Mytilus edulis: one gene and its partners. The main gene of each other region encodes a partner of the protein of the gene in region 2 in a complex. Links are inferred from orthologs where the notes say so. Each region holds a gene or a part of one and is shown on either strand. Other genes may lie near its edges. The genes, in order: nucleoside diphosphate kinase homolog 5-like, dnaJ homolog subfamily B member 13-like and ropporin-1-like protein.

The links.
Region 1: the proteins of dnaJ homolog subfamily B member 13-like (region 2) and nucleoside diphosphate kinase homolog 5-like are in contact, whole or in part, in a cryo-EM structure (PDB 8WZB), measured with the Mus musculus proteins. The link is inferred for Mytilus edulis from reciprocal best matches to the Homo sapiens genes DNAJB13 and NME5. Residues at the interface, in NP_705755.2 of Mus musculus: Thr156, Lys157, Lys158, Thr181, Ile182, Asp183, Arg185, Trp188, Arg189, Gly191, Thr192, Arg193, Ile194, Thr195, Phe196, Glu197, Pro281; in NP_542368.2 of Mus musculus: Glu52, His53, Asn56, Met193, Lys199, Pro200, Lys201, Leu202, Cys203, His204, Phe205.
Region 3: dnaJ homolog subfamily B member 13-like (region 2) and ropporin-1-like protein share a complex: the UniProt entries of both Homo sapiens proteins name them as parts of the axonemal radial spoke complex. The link is inferred for Mytilus edulis from reciprocal best matches to the Homo sapiens genes DNAJB13 and ROPN1L.

What each region holds. Positions count from the first base shown.
Region 1 is NC_092352.1:35,868,714-35,876,023, reverse strand, and holds the start of nucleoside diphosphate kinase homolog 5-like, read right to left. Parts: upstream 3,053-7,310; 5' UTR 2,997-3,052; coding exon 2,853-2,996; intron 1,149-2,852; coding exon 943-1,148; intron 603-942; coding exon 502-602; intron 1-501. Other genes in the region: fas-binding factor 1 homolog, read left to right, coding at 3,273-3,281, 6,940-6,970. UniProt on the Homo sapiens protein: Functions as part of axonemal radial spoke complexes that play an important part in the motility of sperm and cilia. Does not seem to have nucleoside diphosphate kinase (NDPK) activity.
Region 2 is NC_092353.1:43,375,767-43,383,046, reverse strand, and holds the start of dnaJ homolog subfamily B member 13-like, read right to left. Parts: upstream 3,055-7,280; 5' UTR 2,970-3,054; coding exon 2,902-2,969; intron 1,427-2,901; coding exon 1,320-1,426; intron 650-1,319; coding exon 488-649; intron 163-487; coding exon 5-162; intron 1-4. Other genes in the region: cilia- and flagella-associated protein 47-like, read left to right, coding at 3,319-3,468, 4,932-5,086, 5,471-5,678, 6,065-6,111, 6,566-6,794, 7,234-7,280. UniProt on the Homo sapiens protein: Functions as part of axonemal radial spoke complexes that play an important part in the motility of sperm and cilia.
Region 3 is NC_092350.1:52,033,103-52,040,334, forward strand, and holds the start of ropporin-1-like protein, read right to left. Parts: upstream 3,071-7,232; 5' UTR 2,944-3,070; exon of another isoform or gene 2,892-2,943; intron 380-2,891; 5' UTR 362-379; coding exon 225-361; intron 1-224. Other genes in the region: HORMA domain-containing protein 1-like, read left to right, coding at 7,151-7,195. UniProt on the Homo sapiens protein: Functions as part of axonemal radial spoke complexes that play an important part in the motility of sperm and cilia. Important for male fertility.

The DNA of each region.
Region 1 (7,310 bases), on a different chromosome or scaffold from region 2:
TGCAATGATGTTATCATGTACATGTTAACTGATTTTAGCTATAAAATATCACAATAAAGGTATACATGTATAAGGTATTCTTATTTAAAATATATCTTAGTTTGTCAAAGGCTTTGTGTATATGGTAAAATGGGAAAGATAGTTTGCATGTTATTTTAATTACATCTTATGAAAGACATCATCATTCCTCAGTCCTGTACAACATGTACATGTTTTTTAACCTGAAACATTAACTTAATTGGAAATGACTTGAATAACATTCAGGGAACTGATTATTTCAGGACAAAGCAAATGGTTTTTAGATGTCATGTTGCCCTCTAAATTAAGTAAATATAGCACATTTGTACATATATTGAAGGTAGGTAAATGATTATAACTATCAAACTGAGGCCAGAAATATAATTTCCCCTAGTCTATATGTTGACTACATTTTGTACTTAAATAGAGAAGTTGATAATCTTGTGTCTAAAAAAAGTGATATACAGTATTCATGCAACTTACTGTCTGCAAAAAAGAATCTTATTTCCCTCTCTGCCGCTGAAAAAGTGTCACTGCCATGTAATGCATTTTTCTGATCATCTGCTCCATATATAGCTCTCAAACTAAAATTCAAAGGTGGTGTAAATCAAGTATTAGCATTTGGTTTTATATTGGACTAAAAGCCTTTTAACAGATCAGATTTCTTACATAACTTTCAATATTTGATATAGTATTTATTAACATAATATGATTTGTTAAACATGTATCACTTCATGACTTCAATATATGTACTACATTTGTAGAATATTCTTTTGTTGCTATTTTTAAACCATTGAATTTCATTTCACACATAAAAAACAGTTTCCATGACCAAACTACAAATAAAAGAGAGATAGCTCGACTATGTCAACTTCATATGAGAATGACAATTGTGATTTTCTTTAAACATTTTAATATGCATACCAGTCAGGGTGTGTCTGTTTTGCTTTTACAGAATTTGTCGGTCCTATTAATTCTTTCCAATATGATATAGCCTGATCACGCGCTAGAACTAGTGCTATCATTGGACCACTGCTCATGTAAGCTACCAGACTTGTAAATGCAAATTTTCCAAAATGTTCAGCATAAAAATCACTAGCTTGTTCAGGTGTTAAATGGACCCTTCTCTTCTGCAATTAAATTAGCACATATATTATTATATAATCAATGTAACATGTTCAGGATTATAATTTGAAACAAAATTATAAATGAGCAAATGTATCATCATTTTAAAACATAAGTTCAAAAATAATTTATATTTTGTGTAATTTCCTTGCTCCATTTTGTCATGGGGACTGAAATTATATTGTTTATCAATAAAATTGCTTCCTCCCACTGCTTGACAAGCCATTGCAAAACATTATGATTTCCCAGTGGACTCCTGTAATAAAATCCTTAGTAAGAACCCTTAAAGGAAAATGGGAATACAATATGAACACCCAGCTAAATTAGACATTAACATAAAATAATTATTTAACAAACAGAAAGCATTGGTTTCAATACAAATTTAAATATTGTCCTATTATTGATGAAAAAAATCCTCCACCTCTTCATGGAAATCAACAATTTGATAAAGTTATGAATTGTACATGTATTTGTACATTGTTGTTTTGAAATTAAACAAACGTCTTATTGTTTTAAATTTTGTAATATTTGAAAAGAAGCAAAAATGGATATGAAAATGGCACAAGATAATGAATGTAAGCATTGTAAATAAGATGAATCAATTGTCACAATAATTATGATGTCTTGAGAGGCTATATTTTTTTGCTTTGACACCTTACAGTCTCTATAGCTAGTGTGTCAAAGCAAAAGGTTTAATAGCCTTTCAAGACATCATGATGATTTGGACTCATTAATCGTTAATAAAATTATTTTCAGCAGATAAAAATACACCTTATCGCTATTTGTCTACCATTACTGTATGCCATAAAAGTTCTTGTAATTTTTTTTATGTCATAATAGAAAATTTCTGACGCCACAATGGAAAGTAATTGTTGTATGACGTCAAAAGTTCAAGAGAAGCAGATTCAAGGGACAAGCGGGACAGAACTTTTAATATCAATAAGGTGGATACAGACTCCAAATATTTCATCATAATTCTTACATTATATGATTTGCATATTAGTGAATACGTTGATATGATTGGTGGAGATGACTTCCGGTAGTTGATCTTGATGTTGTTTATTTTTCGATAGGCAACGTTGGCCGAACTTCTTTTTGTAACCAATGTAAACAAGATGGCGGCAATAATAACATCGACTTGAACAAAATTTATTTTCACTGCACGTACTCATTAAAATAAATAATAAACACAAAAACATTTGTTTGAATGATAACTCGAGTCTTTGTGGTTTATTTTTTATCAGATAGCAAATTTAAATGAGTACATATTTTTGCATTAACCAACAAATATATTCATGCGCCATGCCTATTCAATGACAAAAAATATACAATTTACGTGTGATAGAGGTTACGAGTGTTGAAAAATATATTCCTTAGCTCCAATTTTAAAGAATTATAAGGATTAAACGCCTTTTTAAAGGAATTTATTGGTGTATAAACTGGACCAAGTCACTGGTAGAGTTTATATACCAATAAATTCCTTTGAAAAAGCGTTTAATCCTATGTAAACTTTCTACTTACGGCAAAAAATATGTATAGGCCGTAGGTACATAACGACTTGGTAAGCTTGCATTTAAGATGGCGCCTTCCTCATATACAGAAACATGAGACTAAGTAATGACTTGGTAATCAAAATTCGATGTGCTTTTGCTGTATACAAGATGATTGATGAGGAATAGGAAAGCATGTTTTCTTATTTCTTAAATTACCTGTAAAATCGAAAATCCAGATCTCAAAATAATATCTTCAATTTCTTCTGCTTTATTAACTGCATCTGGTTTGATAATTGCTAATGTCCGTTCCACATAAACATGTGGTGGATCCATTGTAACTGTTTCGTTCTCTCCTGTCATTTTGTCCCTTGTAAAATATTATGGCGTCCTGTTGCTAAGAAATATATTATGATCTCGCATTTTCACGTACGGTGCACCGTACGAGATTTCAAAGAACTGACTGGTTCCTCGTTTAAAATAACCAACAGCCGTATTCCCCAATGTTACAATAAACGTAAACTAAAGGAAGCAGATAATGTCTACAAGAAAATGATTTTGTTTGAAAGATATAAACGAAATGTTTAAAGCTGCACATCTATAGATACATTTCTGTTGATTGGAATATTGAAATACATCATGGCTAATGTAAATTTTGCATTAAAACTCAGAAATTTCAACTTCAAAGCAAAAGAACAAAAAGTGTTGCATGCACACACATGACATGTCCAAACAGTATAATAAGAATTTCTCATTTATTGCTCATGTATTCCCGATTGTGATATGCATTTTGTGTTGCTAATGCTAAATAGTTGGTATCAGAGTTTAATACATGATAACATCGGATACATGTCAACTCGTACTTTCGGCAACTCGTACTCAGCCAACTCGTACTTTCGGCAACTCGTACTTCTACCAACTCGTACTTCTTCTAAGTCGTACCCAATATTTTTTTAGCATTATAATATAAGTTTTCTACGTTTATATCAGTAGATATGGATATTTTAACTCCCTGAAGTATCCCAGTGCACCCTGAGGTAGATCCATAGAATATGAAAAGGATATTTTTTACTGAACATTGCGTTGAACATGTCTTAGTTTTTTCGTGTTAGTAGAAAATATTTTTAACATTATAATGCTTCATATTTTATTATTCACCTACTGATTTATCTACTGATAGGATTTGTATCTGAAAAAAAATCCTCAAGTGTCAAGGTGTGCTCGATCCTTAGAATATTTGAAGAGATTTTTACTGAATATTGCGATAAACACGTTGTTTGTTGATGTGTTAACACTTTTTTTTTTTTTTTTTTTTTAAATAAGCATGGCAGTCAGTTCGTTTTCCGTTTGAATTGTTTTACTGGTCATTATAGCTGACTATGAGGTATGGGTGGGTTTTGCTCATGGCTGAAGGCTGTACGATTACCTATAGTTGTTCATTTCTGTGTCATTTTGGTCTCTAGTGAAGAGTTGTCTCATAAGCAATCAGACGAGATCTTCAAAAAAAAAAAGGACTTTGTGGCAAATAAATCAAGATTTTTATAGAAAATCCACAGCCTTTAAACATAAACCTTAATACACAAATTATTTATTGCAGTTCGCGTGCCGGTGATTAATTGATTGATCATTGCTTCACACCTGAAGTATGTCGATTACCAGTTAATCGGCCCTTATTCACACACGAAACGTGCCATTAATTATTTAACCGTTATCAAAACAACTTCACACCTGATCTAATCTTTCTGCATGTACGTTTGCACTATATTTTAAAATGTATATTTCATCACAATACTACTATCATTTATATACGTATTGACCTCAATTATGATAAAAGTTAAAATAAAAATTAAGCCAATATTTAGAAGAATTACGAGAGGCGTATTAAAAAAACCCACTAGTATCACTATTATTTACACACACATTGTAAGACATTTTTACAAGGCTTTGTTGCTATTAATAATAGTAATAAGGGTCCTACAAATACAGCTTTTTGAAATATATACTCTTATTGGCCCCAAACATGGACCAAATAACAGGATTAGGGGAAAATATTATTGAGATACACAATTTATATATCGTCTTGCATACATTACAATGTGGACGAACCATGATTGCAATTGAAGATGATCATACATTTCACCATAGTTTATATATTTTTTCTCTAAGCTTGGTTTTTACAACGTTTAAGCCATGCATTTTCTTTTCGGTGAGGATGGTGATTGTTTAAGTATAACTCAACGGCCTTTGATGATCATAGTGCCGCACTTATACCGATTTTTTGTTTTCATTTACTTCTCTCTGTTTATTCTACTTTTAACAAATCCATTCTATTTTTGTAGGTATGTTATCCACTAATGACCACTGATTAGCATATTGTGTACTCATAATTATTTTAATGTGCATATCAAATAAATTGTCGTGCAAACAATTTCAAACAATCAATTATAAGGAATACTAATGATTATAACGATTAGCATTTTATAAGCTTATTTAAAACAATTATGATTGAATTTTATTAACAATGAAAGTTGTTTTTTTATTTGTATTTTGCTATATAATGATATACGAAAGAAAGTTACAATAACTATGCATATAAACTTGATAAATAATATCAAATAAAACATGGTTACGAGTTGGCAAAAATAGGGTACGAGTTGGTTGAGTACGACTTGCCGAAAGTACGAGTTGTCGTGTACCCATAACATCTAATCCACTGCTACAATTATGGAGCAACTCGCTTTCATCATGATCATGACGATCCATCCCAGGCTGCCGGTCCACGACATTCTGTCACCATATTTAAAGTTAATCCGGCCCGAATAAAAAAATATTTCAGAAAAGATTGTTCACATTTGGCAAGATGAGGTTGCAATCTAAATTCAAACGGAAAAAGCAGCAATGCAAATCATTGATTTTTCAATTTTTTGATCCGAAACTGCAGATTATCTGTCATGGCATAGTCATAATTGTAATCCTTCTTGACAAAATTGGCTGAATCTCCGGGAATCATATGTGACACACATAACTGTCAATGTGCTTGGCCGACCACTCCTGATCATACCTGATCTCTCCTGACCGTCACCTTACTGGATCAGCAGGAACCAGTAACAAAAGTACACTGCATTCTGACAATGATTGATCAAGGAAAGTAATCTTACTTTGTATCTTTTCTTGTCTGATCGTTGTCTTATCTCAAACAGGAGACATAATCAATACTGTGTGAATGCTGCATTATAATGATTTCATAGAATAAAATTCCTGCGGATATTCAAAGTTATCATGGAAAATAACTTCATATTAATAAGCTGATACTGCATTATAAACAGTATCTATTACACTTATTTTCCTTGCATTATAAATAGTATCTATTACACTTGTTTTCTTATCTATTTTAAATAGTTATTCAAATTGGGCATACATCACTCACCTGCTGTCATTGATACTTAAAACTTTTTACAAATTCCATTTATCCTGATTCCAATATGTCACCAAATTCTATAAAGTTAACATAGATTATTCATTATCTTATTATGGGGAAGGATTGACATGGGTTCAGATTGAAGTGGGACGGATCTACTTTTAGTCAGATCAAGTTTGGGTCTCATCAGTTTGGGGATTGATTGACTTGTACCAAACAACTCAGGCAAGAGTAGCAACAACTTGGAGGCTCTGACCGACTTATAAATCAACAAGGCGTGTCTATATAGTTACAACTGCTGCCGTACTTGCCTGTTTTAAGGTTAAATCCCCCATGTGTCATAAAGTTTAAATCCAGCATGTGGCATAGGGTGCTTGGATTTAATCTTAAAATCGACAAGGATTGTCAGTTTTCCTACTGAAAATTGGTGGTTCTCTCTGGGCTCACTAACTTTCTCCACATTATAAATTGAATGTCATCAAAAAGTGCAACAGTGCAGAAAGTGATGTTAAACACGCAAAAAAACCAACAACCAATAAAGTAATTTCTAACAGTCTACAGTGGATTGATAATGATAATAAATGATTAAATGTTACTTTTTTAACATAGAAATAATCTTTCAAATTTGCAAAATAATTTGTTCAATGCATATGTGATTCACAATTTCTACTGATTAATGAAATGAAGTTTAGGCTGAAAAGGGTATTTGTTCTATTATTTGTTGTTGAAATTTGTTAGTTAATGTTAATGTAATTTCAATCTCATTGCATATTTATTTTGTATTTAACCCAAAGTCTGTCACACATAAATGTTGTCTTTTAGCTATAGTAAATCCTTTTATCTGATCTTTATAAGTGAAAGTCTACCATATGCATGTTTTTATTTTAGGCTTGGACACCTGGTGGCAAGAAACAGCAAAGTATGTATAAATTTAGTTATTTTGTTTTGGCTTATCATTTAAAATTACTCATATAAAGAACAAAATTTACATTACAATACACAAATGGTGTCGATGTACCGGTATGCTTCACATCTATAAAAGTGTCTAACAAATACATTTTTTTGAAATTCAGAGTATAAAGTCTATGTAACTGTCTAATGGTAGGTAAGAACTTATTTGTCTCCATTATTCAATGATGTATTAATAACATTAAATTTCTAATCAGCAATGGATTGATAAACATGCTAATATGTATGTTTTACCATGGTAATAAAAAGATTTGATGCTTGTGTTCTATTCATTTTTGAAATCATTTCTA
Region 2 (7,280 bases):
TTACCCTTCTAGAAATTTTCATCTTTTTGGTGCAACCATGAAATACTTCTTCCAATGACAAGAAAAGTTCTCTTTCTATTGGTGAATCTTGTTTCTTATGTCCTCTGCCTTGTAAACCACCAAATCCCATGCTTAAATCTCCATCAACTCTGTCATAAAATTCTGCAAAAAGTAATAAAAAAAATCGGTATTTAATATTAATATTATTAACCAGGTTAATGGTCTGTTATGACATGTTATGGTCTATCAGGATGGTTAATGATACATTGGCAATTTTCAATAAGTAAGTTTGTTTAATTTTCTGTTTTGGACACAAATCAAATGGACCTGATCGAGAGGCCTTTGAAGAAGGAAAGATTTTGGTAATTTCTCTGATATCGTATTATCCTTCTTTGTATGCCTTTATTTTATATCTGTGTATGCCTTTATTTTATATCTTTGTATGCCTTTATTTTATATCTTTGTATGCCTTTATTTTATATCCTACCTTGAAATGGATTATCACCACCAAAGAATTCTCTGAAAACTTTTTCTGAATTTCCATGGAATGTGTAACCTTGGGTCCAAGCACCTGCCTCCCCACTACCATGAGGAACACCATTCTTTAGGCCTTCTTCTCCAAACTGATCATACACTGCCCGCTTTCTTGCTGAAAAAATAGGATTTTGAAAGATTAATGTATTAAACTACATGTATTAAAAAACTTCATGCATCATATAACACAGAAAAACTCTGCTTAAGATCATCTTTTAGTCAACTTATAATATATACACTTGTTCATCTTTAAGGGTGTTGATGACTGAAACTATAATTGAAATTCACCTCTCCATAATGTCTTCTGGACAAAGAACTCACTTCCTCTCAAAGATCATACATTACGATAAAATGGTTTATGTTTCAACTCTAAAAATATTTAAGGAAAACTAAAAAAATGTAAAATATCTGTCAGAAGATAACTTATCTAACACGGAGGTAACATCAACCACCCTACAGAAAAAATTCCCCTATTTCACTATTACCAATCAGCAAAACATTAACCTAAAATTTGTTTAAACTTGTTATCGGATGGATTCTGTCAAAGGTTGATTGAAAAAAAAAGAAACATTTACAATTCAACTCTTTATATCAGTATGAAAAAAATATCACGAAAAACAACATGAAATTGGTTCCACAGCTTATATATATATACTTCTGAAAATTTCAATAAAACTCTCACTTTATAGCAGTTTTGTTAAGTTGACGCTTTGTGGTGATTTATTGTCGAGGCCTTATCAAATGCAAATACATGTACATAAGTTTTTCTTTACTTTACTACTTACGATCACTTAAAATGTCATAAGCCTCAGCACATTGTTTGAATTTGTCTTGAGCATTTTGATCACCATCATTTCTGTCAGGATGAAATTTCAAAGCTAATTTTCTGTAGCTGTAAAAAATAAAAATATAAGTAAAGTTAAATATATAAAGGATACAATTTTTGTACAAAAATAAATTTGAAGCAAAAAAAGACACTTTAAATCTGAGCAGGTGCACACAACACGAGTAATTTTATAAGATACAACCAAAATTATATACAGTAAGTATAGTATAATTAAGAAATAATTCATGGGGGATGGAATATTTCGTGATATTACCACGGGTTGGCCCTTAATGACAAATATTTTACCCTGAGCGATAAGACAAATACGGCTATTGTTTTGGATCGAAGCGCTCTAGGTGGAGACAAATATTTGCCTTTCCCATAAATAAACACACTATTAAATTGGCGTAAAAGAACGAAGCAAACTCAATTAGTGACATGCTTAAAGTTTTTACAATAACGTATCTAGATAGCTTTGGGTGAATTTAAATTATAATTTACTTATCATAATGATGTTTTAAAAAAATCGGCTTATACCACATTTAGCATTGTTTGTTTACGTTTCCTTGTTGTGATGATTTTTGTTTTGGAAAGCATGTATTTTTCCGTAAAATGCACATATTCATACGTCATCTTTCTATGACGTTTGGTATCTCATTCATAAAAAAACATATGACATGGGAGTACAATCGGAACAGCCCTGGCAATAAATTCATATTTAACCACAGGTGTGTACTCAAAGCATTTGAAGGACGTCATGTTAGAATAGGAAATAATAAAGAAAAATAAATATAGAAAGGTGGGTCTAAGCATGACGCGGGATTGCTGATTTTTTGTAAGCGTGAAACGGGAAAGTCAAATTATTGTGCCGTGAAAACGGGAATTAAGGTCTAGTGGGACACGGGCAATTACAAAAAAATGAGAATTGCTTAGGTACATAGTATAAGCGGGATACGGGAATCTGACAAAACAGTAAGCGGGATCCGGGATCAGAACCCCCCAATGAGACCCCCAGAAAAGGGGTACTCATTTGTACTTTTTTCATCTGGCCTGAACCAGTTCAGGAATACGTTTTTCAGATGAATCTGTCATGTGACTTCCATCCCTCAGTTGTATGGGAATCAAGATTATGAACTTATAGAACATAAATTAATTCTATATCACCCTACAATACAGAATGACGAAAATGCTCGAAAACTTTTGTAAGACCAGGGATACGGGCAGGCCTTATATCTTTTTCAGTGAAAGGCATGATACCAGAATAGATGACTGATTCCAATGGGCCATGGACATGGAAGGTACCATATCCAGGCAAATAATCATTGCATGCCGGCACAGCTGATGTCTATAATAAGACTTACTTGGCAAATGGAAGACTGAACAGACTAAAAATGGATGTTCAGTGGATAGTTGTAGATACCTATTCTCTAATTAAAAAAAAACAAACATAAACTGATTGAAAGTGAAATAACAAATCAGTGAGTTCTTATGAATTTGGAACATTATGTTTGATCCTGTAATTTAAAACATCAATTCCTTACTGTTTCTTAATGTCTGCATCTGTTGCACTTCTTGTTAATTGCAAAATATTGTAGTAATCGACTCCCATCGTTTATTTTTGTTTTGAAACGACTGTAAGATCGGGTCGTTTACTAAAGATGGCGTGGTTGCTATGCGATGTATAGCTAGTTTATTTGACGGTATTTTCGTACTGAATTAATGTCAGATTTTGTTTTAATTGATTATTCGATACATCAGATAAAATATAATAGCTTCATAAAGAAACATAATTGTTTTAATTTTAATAGAACAAAACAAATTTAAAGATTTTACTCAATTACGAAAATGCGGTTTTATTTTGTTTGCTTGAAAAATCCCCGAGCAACCTTCCCAAACAATATGGCGGTAATAGTTTGAAGTTTTTAAAAAGATAATCGACATTTTTGAACGAAAGCATCATGGAAGGTGACACGTTCGGTGTCCGAATTTCACCACCGCAATTGGAATTCTTTGACACAGATGTCAACACAGTTCATGAGCTGAACATCACTGTGAAAAACATAAGCAAATCAAGTAAAAGCATACGATTTTATGGACCAAAATCTAAAGTGAGTAGGATTTAAGTCGTCTGTTTACATAAGTATATTCAACAGCTAATTTATAAACTATAATATATAAACCCTGAACCAAGTCTTCGTCATTGGTTATTGCCAAGCCAGTTTTAGCAAGTCAGAGCTTCTAAGTTCTAGAAAAATTTATCCTGAATTCCCCAAAAAAATGAAGCATCATCTTTCCCTGATTTTGAAAATTGATTCTTACTTTTAGAAACTCAATAGGTATTATCCTTAAATTTCAGCTGAAATTAAGATCCAATTTTGACACCATGAAGACTACTTATGATAAAGCCACTTCATGGTTTTGACATATATATTGCATTCTAAGAACATGTCGAATACACCTTATCACTAATCCCGGCTGACCCAGCCGCTTGATCTTTTGACGCATACAACAATCACTTTTGCATTGTGGCTTCAGATATTTTGTTTTATGACGTCAAATTTTTACGGGAACCTGTGTGATATCCAGTAATGACGGACAAATAGCGATTGTGTATGAGGGGCATATTTTTTTCGAAATAGATGTTACATGTACATGATGTAACTGTAAAAGAAAGTATGAGAAAGAGGAAATCCTATGCTAGTTTTCAATCAACTGTTCTGTTTCCTTGATGTTTCCCCATATTTTTTTTCATAGTATTGCATCTCCATAATGGCCATTATGAAAATATCCCCCCTATTCAACATAAAATTGAGAATGGAAATGGGGAATGTGCCAAAGAGACAACCCGACAATAGAGCAGACAACAGCAGAAGGTCACCAACAGGTCTTTAATGCACCGAGAAATTCCCGCACCCGGAGGCATCCTTCAGCTGACCCCTAAACAAATATATACTAGTTCAACTGTGAAAGGGTATATTTTTCCATGTTCCAGACATTTCCTATAGATGTCAAAATCATAATTCTCTTATTTTTTTTGGGGGGGGGGGGGGGATTTTTTTTGCACAATGTCAACAGTTCATATAATCGTAAGTCAGGTGTTTCAGAATGCAAATAGGGGTAAGGTCTATTTACAATCCTCCAAAACTCAAATGCAGAAAAAAAACATGTATTTAAAATTATTCAAGATATAAAACTGCATAAAGCAAGAGGGGCACATGTGACTTAACACCAGTTGTGTCAGTAATATTTTAAGCTTAGTGAATTTTATAGGTACAATATAATATTTTATTGTACTGTTTGTTGAAAGTGCAGACATGACTGACTTTATTTATTCATATTATGTTATGATAAGTAAAAACATACATTTTATGAAAACATCAATTTGATGTTTTCATAACTTCATTTAAATCATTATTACATTGTTTGATCCTTAAATTGATAAATTCGTGAAGCATCTATTATAATGTTACTTATAATACTTTTTTTGCTACTCTCTAATATTAAACTATTAAATAGAAGGTTAAAAATTAATTGAATTGTTCTTTTTATCAAGAAATATTTACTTTTTTAGTTCTTCAATCTAAAAGTAAAAAACCCTACAAAGCCAGTGGCATCAGGCTTATGTGTCCCAGCTATTATTGAATTTGAAACCAGTGAAGCAAAAGAGATTCGTGATAGACTGGTTGTAACTATTGATGGAGATGTGGCTGAAATACCATTAATAGCGTAAGTTCTTAGTTTCATATTTTAATGTTAGGATTTATTTTACATTGTACACAAATAATAATTTAAATTTGTACTAAAAAGGATATTCAGTCTATCATAATACAGAGACACAATTTCCAAAGATATAATGGTTATTTTTTTGGGGGGGGAGGGGGATTATTAGCATTAATTTACTCTTTACAATAACTGGGGAATCTTCAAACAAAGACCGAAGAACTTGCATCAAGTTCAGAGACTACATGTATTAACACACTTAACAGTAATAATCACATTTTTTCCTATCAAATCAGATTATCAATTGATTTTAAAGGAATTATCCACAGTAATTTAAGTTTAAAATTGTTAATTGCCCTGACCTATATTGGATTATTTATTTAATAATAGATATCCTATGCAGCCTATGCTAGAAATTGAAGAAGTTGTTGACTTTGGAAGTCTTGTAGCTAGCAGTAAAACAATATCAAAAGAAATAGCATTAACAAATCATGGATCTAAGGCTGGAGAATTTAAACTGAAGTATTCTGGAGACAAACCTTTAGCCATTGTTCCCACCAGTGGCAATGTACCTCCTAAAAGTGTACAGTTGATAAAGGTAAATATGTGAATCAAGAATAAAAATACATGTACTACAAACCATGCAATATGGAGCATACCTGTCAAATACAACGATTTGTTTCAATTTTGCTGGTTTAAGTATCTTTCAAGAGTAAAAAAATTTCCAGATGATGTACTTTGTGACTTTCTAAAAATTACCATAATTACCTAGGGCAGCAAAATTCCAAATAGAAGTAACATACATTAATGTATTGTTCAAATGTTGTGTAATGGCTACTTTAATAAAAATATATCTTAAATTCTTAGCTACAATATATTTTTGATAAATAGAAAAAATACCATACATTAATGCTTTGATATGATTTGAATATTGTTTTGTGTGTCAGCAATATTTTCGAATCCTTTCTTATTCTTGCTTTGCAGATTGAATATGTAACAAAAGAACCTGGAAACTTAGAAGAGCATGTGAGGTAAGTATCTTTTAAGTCATAAATGGAATTATTTCTGTATGGGAAAAGGGATGTTTGTATAATATTATTAGGTTGCTGCCTCATTTCAATACAAATGCTCCATATCTAAAATATTCTAATTGAGAAAAAAAAAATATCACAAAAAAAAAACCCACACCAAAACAAAAAAGATAAAACAGACAAGTGGTGTACATATGTACAATGTAACAGTAAGTGTTATAATATTGAAATGTTTTTGATTTACGACAGAATATGACAAAAATTGACATGCCAATGATTGATCTGATAGACCCTCTAATTTTCTTATAAATATCTATGAGTATAATCTGTTACAGCATGGTTTTAGATCTCAATTATTAAACTCTTTTTTATGTCTATTAGTGATTTGCAATTATAAATGCTTTTTTTTCTAAATAAACTGACATTTTTTTTATATTTTAATACATTTTTCCAGAGTTAAACTAGAAGGAAGAGAACCTAAACAATTGACAATAAAGGGAAGATTAGTTGACAGAGCTCTAGAAGTTTTATCTGTAGATACTGGGGCACCAGTAGATTGTGTACAGTTTGGTAGTACCTATTATGGATGTGACAGAACACAGTGTGCATTACTTTACAATAACAGTCCAGAATCTGTTAACTTTGTAGCTGTACTAGATGAAGATGCTGTGGCTCAGGAAATGGTTAGCATAGTCAGATAGAAGAAAATAATAATCATTCCAAATTATCTCAAGATTCGGTTGAATGTTACGGGAACAAAAGTACCATTCATTTTATAAAAAAAATAAATGTATTAATAATTAATGGAATTAAAAGATATTTGGTTTCAATCTTTTATAGGAAATATATATTATTTGGTTGGAATATTTTCTTCATTTTATTTAACAACCATAATTGAACCTTACCATACAAAGTTTTGTGGATGCTTTTGCCTCATCATTTTCTGGCAGACTGCTGCAGGTGGTATATCTTGTTGACCCTGTCTTATCATGCTGTTTCTGGCATAGTTTTATTTTCTTCTTTTTAAATTCTTATCCAAACATTGTTTGAATAATTGCCATCATCAGGGCAAGAAAAGTTTAAATGTAATAAAATAATTCATCTGTCAAAATTTTATTACAGGGAATAGATTTGACAAAAAGTACAACTGATGCCTTGGCTAATACTGG
Region 3 (7,232 bases), on a different chromosome or scaffold from region 2:
CTATAGATAATTTTTCTAAAGACAAAAAGATAAAAAAAAAAATACCACCAAATCTTTTTTAAATAGGTTTCTTTAGTTAGACAAATTGTACTACCCCCTCTCCCACAACCCAAAATTAAAATTTCAGTTTCCCTAAATTAAAAAGAAGATATTTTTTATTTTAAATTCCTAATGAAATCATCTCAATATTTATAGTTTAATTAGACAACTAAAAGTGTACTTACGCAGCAGACCATGCTAAAACATCTTTTGGCTGTGTTCTGATTGCAGCTTTTGTAAACTGTTTGAGTATGTCTGGTAGCTGAGGAGGAATGTTAATCTGCTGAGAGCAGTAGTATGGCTCATCTGGATTGGTAGGCATTTTGGAATTAGGATTCTCCTAAAAATTAAAAGGATTTTTTAAAAATAAAATTGAGAATGGAAATGGGGAATGTGTCAAAGAGACAACAACCCGACCAAATAAAAAACAACAGCAGAGGGTCACCAACAGGTCTTCAATGTAGGGAGAAATTCCCGCACCGGAGGCGTCCTTCAGCTGGCCCCATAACAAATATATACTAGTCCAGTGATAATGAACGCCATACTAATTTCCAAATTGTACACAAGAAACTAAAATTAAAATAATACAAGACTAACAAAGGCCAGAGGCTCCTGACTTGGGACAGGCGCAAAAATGCGGCGGGGTTAAACATGTTTGTGAGATCTCAACCCTCCCCTATACCTCTAACCAATGTAGTAAAGTAAACGCATAACAATACGCACATTAAAATTCAGTTCAAGAGAAATCCGAGTCTGATGTCAGAAGATGTAACCAAAGAAAATAAACAAAATGACAATAATACATAAATAACAACAGACTACTTGCAGTTAACTGACATGCCAGCTCCAGACTTCAATTAAACTGACTGAAAGATTATGATTTCATCATATGAACATCAGGCACAATCCTTCCCGTTGGGGGTTTAGTATCATACCATCATAACATATATGAGAAGAACATAACCCGTGTCATGCCAACAACTGTTTTTAAAAGTTTGTTTTTCTAATTTAAAAGGACTTCATAACCAGCAGGATATAAGGAGATACAATGCAACAGCAACCCAATAGGCAATAATAAAAATAACCAATATACATCTAAGAGGAAACAGTACACCTTATTGCTATTTGCATTACTGGACATCACAGCAGTTCCCGTAAAATTTTGATGTCATATGATAATAGAAAATATCTGACGCCACAATGGAAAAGTCAGGGTTCTCGCTAAGGATTTTTGAAGGCGAGTCCAGGGACTCATCATTTTTAGGTATGATGAGTCCAACAGCAAGAAGAAAATATTTTATTGCAATATAAAGTAATATTTGAGTCTCCATTTCCTAACAGAGCAATGAAATGAAATCAAATTCAGATCACTTTTAAACTTTTGCTATAAAATGATGATATTTGTGTTTAACTGTGTTCAGTTTATACAAAATATTTCAATCTTGATGCATCTGTGGACTCACCAGTTTTGAAAATGTGATTGTAAGTCAAGCTGCACAGATTTTCAAATAGAGATAAAATGTAAAAACAATGTCCTAAGCATTATATCAAAATTAAAATTATCAATATACTTTATTGCTATTTGTCCGCAACAACTGAACATGACAAAAGTTCCAGTAAAAATTAAGTTGCTAACCAAAATTTCAAGAAAAAATTCCATTGTTGCCTTTTATGAAATTTGCGCATTGCAATAAATAAATGTATACGTCCTACTTGCGGTAAATTATCCCAAATAGGAGAAGTATTATAAGACATTACATGTATAACATTTGGGGAAAAAAATCCCCAACCTGTGATTTTCTTTAACTTTTATTTTCAAAAGGAGGTCGAGTTACGAGAGATTTCTCGACCTCAAGACTCAAATATGCAAATATCTATACTTTTTCACCTCCTTTATAGGAGATCGATGTTTAACATTTAGTAGCCAACCACTATTTTTCACCTCCTTTACAGGAGATTGGTATGAAGCATTTAGTGCAACCACGTTAACAATCTGAAGCTCTCAGACATTTAGATTACTTGCATCGTAAATGTACAAGGAGTTAGATTATTGTCATTTGTATAAATCATCACTTTTTTCTCATGGTCACATGAAAATCTAAGGCTGTTAGTTGGCACCAGAAGCGACGAAGCAGCGCATATATTTTGGATGGGCAAATATCCACTTTTTGATATGGGACGAGCTCTGACGTTACACGGCCCCAGCTTGTCTGGCAAAACAGCCGTTGGACGTCAGATTTATCTCGGAATAGTCATCAACTAGCAAAGACATGTGTTGATGAATTTTCATACAATGCAGATGTATAAGTACTGAAAGGTTAATATGGTAATATTCTACATTTACATTTACATGTAAAGTGTCAGTGCCAGTGGCGTTAGACTCAACTTAGAGCACTTTTAGATATTTTTTATGTCCCAAAATGGTGTTTTGCATGGAAAATTTATACACCATATCGCTAATCACGGCTGACCCGGCCGCTTGAACTTTTGGAGCATACAACAATCACTTTTCCATTGTGGCGTCAGATATTTAGTTTTTGTCAAAAATTTACGGGAACCTGTGTGATATCCAGTAATGGCAGACAAATAGCGATAAGGTGTATTGATCAGTTACCATATCATGTAAACTAAATGTGTTGTTTCTTTAATCAATCTTATGAGATTTACGTACGCAAATCGTCAAAACTATAAATAATAAAATAAATTCTCTGAAAAAGTGAAATGCTTGAAGTAAGTGAAGACTGCAGATAACAATGGTCGTATTTTGTCTCGGAACTAAATGAAAGCTTTTCGTTATGGCAACAATCAAATTCAATGTTTTTTGTACAATAAGTAAGTATAGGGCTTTTTACCTTTTGAGATCTTGAGACCTGAAGAACTTGAAATAAACACACACTAACTTACCGGATGTATTCAAATGTTGTGATAGCAACGATTGCTCGAAAGATTTCTTCCGGTTGAAGGATCGGTGTCTCCAATGCGCTTAAGATATTGACAATTTGCCTTGCTTCTTCAATCATTTAAAAGCACGCGAACCCGCGAATTTTTGTCGTCTGCTACACGGTCGATTGAAAAAGGAGGGTGGATGCTGGTCGTCTGCGCTATTTATTGAGTTCAGAAATTATCTTTAGGTGCAAGTAACTTCTTTCTAAAGAACAGACAACGACATACAAAGGTATAGTTTTGATGAGGCCAAGGTTGTGTCTTTGAGTGTGACTGTTTCAGCCATCACTCATGTCATGAATCCGTGTTTGATGGAAAATATTAGAATAAGAAAAACTTCATTTTGATTTAACCAAGTTCAAATCCTTGATTTAAAATACAAACATAAGCTCTGGGGACACTCATACTATATGAAAACTATATAAAAAAAAAAAACACACACAAAACAGTGCATCAGAAGATAAGAAAACTTATTTTAATTTGGCATAGAATTCAGGAAGGCATCACCAGAAAATTAAATAAGTCTTTCAAGACATCTTCAGTCTTCGTCATGATGTCTGATTACATAAGTAAAATATACTACGAATCTCCTGTAGTTGGTGATCGCAATACTGGTATACCAGTATTGTCCACAATACTGGTATATAAATTTTGTACCAGTATTGTAACTTTAAAAAAAAACCAGCAATACTGGTACATTACTGATATACCAGTATTGTAGTTGTATTGTTGACTATACTTTAAGGTGTATAATGAAAACTGAATTTTAAGCTTCTTCTTCTGTGGTTTTTTTTAAGCAAGATCAAAGGGAGATTAAATGAACTCAAAAAGATTATAGAGGATAATTGTGAAATCAATTATCAACCATGGCCAGTTAAAATAATAACTAAATAAACAAAATATTACTGTAATTAACTCATATTTTTCAAACAATTGTTAATTATATAAATAATTGCTAATAATTTTATCACATTTCTATATTTTATTTAATTCAATTTAGATAAAATAAAATAAAAGCTTATTATTATCTGAGTTAATGTTAAATAAATTCAAACAAACTATTACACTATAACCATGATAACACTGTAAATTCAGATTTACATAAAATTGAGAAAGGAAATGTATGCCATTTTAATAGGAGATAACTGTATTGTATTTTAAGCTCCGACGGCATCAATTGGGGATTTGATGGTCGCAAATTAAGTTTACTGGTGACACGTTAGCGGAGACAGTAAAAGGGTATTTGCGACCATCAAATCCCAAATTGATGCCGTCGGAGCTTAAAATACAATATTGTTATCTCCATTCTAATGAAACTGACAGAAAATAACGTTAAAACATGTATTTAAAATCTGTCATATGCCGTCTGCGCTTGTGCGTACGTCCCATAGCATCAATTGTCAATTGATGCCATGTAAGAAAGTGACGTTATCCAATCAAAATGAACATTACAAACGTTATTGCATTAGAATTTATATTTTTTACAGATATTTTAATACATGACATTGTATATGATCATATGCATTTGTTGGTCTTTATTTTCACAATAAACAAGATAAAAGATATCAATATCCATTAAACATAAAAATTTGCTTAATAGGGGAACCTGATTATAATCAAAATAACAAGTTTGTCTACTTGAATGTTAAGGGTAGTTTAAAAAGCAATGGTTTAGTACCATTTGGGCAATACAACATTTTGTACAATTTGTAGCAGATATATCTACTGGTACAAATACTCAAAAACTAGTGCTACAATAAGAGTACAATACTGGAATACAATACTGGTACAAAATTTGTATACATGTACCAGTATTGTGCACAATACTAGTATACCAGTATTGCGATCACGAACTACAGGAGATCCCTACTCCTACAATACACCTTTAGGCCATGGAAAATTAATTGTTGGTTTCCCCTTTTAAACATGGGAAAATTTTAAAGACCCGGTAGGCAGGCTTTTGCATATTTTCAACACTTTAAGTTGTCTCTGCAAAAAAATAAATGACCCGGTCGGGTTAGGGGAAACCATCAATCATTTTTCCATGGCCTTATAACTCTCTGGAAATCTCTGCTTATTGACTAGAGAATCTGCATGCAACTCTTGAACTTTTGACATCAGTTTCCCGTAAAACACTGAACAATCGCTTTTCCATATTGGCATCATGTGATTTTTACTGTGAAGTCAAAAATATATATATGCGAACCTTTGTGATGTCCAATTTTGTTGAACAAATAGCAATAAGCATCAGAAAGAGTACATATGATGCAGTCAGCTGGTAAATCATAAAATCCACCCACCTAAGCTAGGCCTCATTTGTTGAAAGCAAATGGTTAAATAATATAGCGGATGAAATATTTAATTTTTTGAAGAGACACTGAAATTTTTTTGAGCCATTGTTCTTATCCTTCTGATCTGTAGCATGCACACATAAAACACAACAAAATAAAGCGAGCAACAATCAAAATTTTAGATATCTAGCAATCTTTATATATAGAAATGAAAAGATGTTCATATCAATCAAGCACAAACTTGAAACTGGCCAAGGGCAAAGTCTATCTCATCACAATATTTTTCATTTCAAAGTTAAGAGTTAGAATATTTTTCTTTTTACAAAAAAAAAAACCAGTATAACCTTTTAGATACTTTATCAATCTTTTTTTGGGTCAAGAAAATACCTTAATACATAGACACATCTTTGAAAGCCAAGGCTGACAATCTGCTTCCTCTCCTTTTGCCTTTGTCAGATTATTTATAATTATATTAAGAAGAAGTTCTGATCCATGACAATCATAACAATCAATTTATTTTGGTTACAATCACATATATATGACTGTATCCAATTAAAAAACGCCTTTATGTTGATCATATGTGAATAGTGACATATTATATAAACAACTGCCACTTACAAATTGTGCCATGTACAAGTCTTTACCCCTGAAACACTAGCTAGACACTATCATGACTATGTAATGACAATATTAATTCTAATTTCTAATCTCAACTCATTGAAAATGTTGGAAAGTTAGCATATGGGACAATATCCCTAATGCGCCTTGAAATGAGGAACTCAAAAGTCACGTGTAAACAAAAAATCTCTGTGTAGTGATATTTGACACATTTCTAATGATAAACAAATGTCTGAGCTGAACCATTTGTGTTAATTTAGAAAGTAAGGGAACACAGAATAAATGTGTAAAAACTATGGAGCCATTAAATGTGTTCAAAGTATTAAATTGTTAAAGAACTTATTGTGTCAAAAATGGGATTTTTTACCATGAGGAGCCACATCGCAAAAGGATACTCGGGGTTTGCTAATTTACGGAAAAATGAATCACACTTCGTACCCCGAAAATTTAACCACATATGTAAAAATGTCTCAGCTTCGAAACACTTAGCCATCATACATATACAAGTTTATGATATGGGCTGAGCAACAGAAGAAAACGTTACCATTACCGCCTATGTAGAAACAATTGCGCATATTGCCCCATATACATTTCTGGTTATTGCTTAATAATTACATTAAATGTATGTTTCACTATAATACGTTATTCTGATTGGCTAACTGTACATCACATGTTATTTCTTAAGCAGTTGTATCACACAATAAAACTTTTCATTCATGATGACACGAGGTCCCACAATAAAGTGCACAGGTAAATGAAATAAAAACTTGATGAAAGGCGTGTTTTCACGATCCTATAGGTAAAAATGTAATTATAAGTATTGAATGCTTTTTTTTGTAACTTTATAGGGTTGTAAAAGCGTTAACCGTGGGCACATTTTTAGTATGAAGCGCTTCCGCGCTTCATACAAAATGAACTTCGGTCAACGCTTTTACACCCCAATAAATTTACAAAAAAGAGCATTCAATTCTTAAATGAAATTTTGTAACACTGATACAACATTTTTTTCAAATCCAAACTGAAGATTATTTGGTCAAGAATAATGTAGTCTTGATTAAGCATGACTTCTATTGGTTGCACGATAGCTAGTGCAAAGCTGTATACACAAATTGTATCTTAACCAGCCACAGGTGAAGATTAGAGGACCAGCTTGAAACCATTGGCTAGAGAAGATGCACAAGACACCCTTGAAACAGAAATAATCCCTCACAAAAACTAAAAAACAATGCTTATAGATACTCTTCTTATTTTATTTTTAGATGTCTACAGCACAGATGCAGAGAACACAGGAGAAGACCAGTACAGTAAGAATTTAAGCTCTATAGACGAGGGTTTTCATGT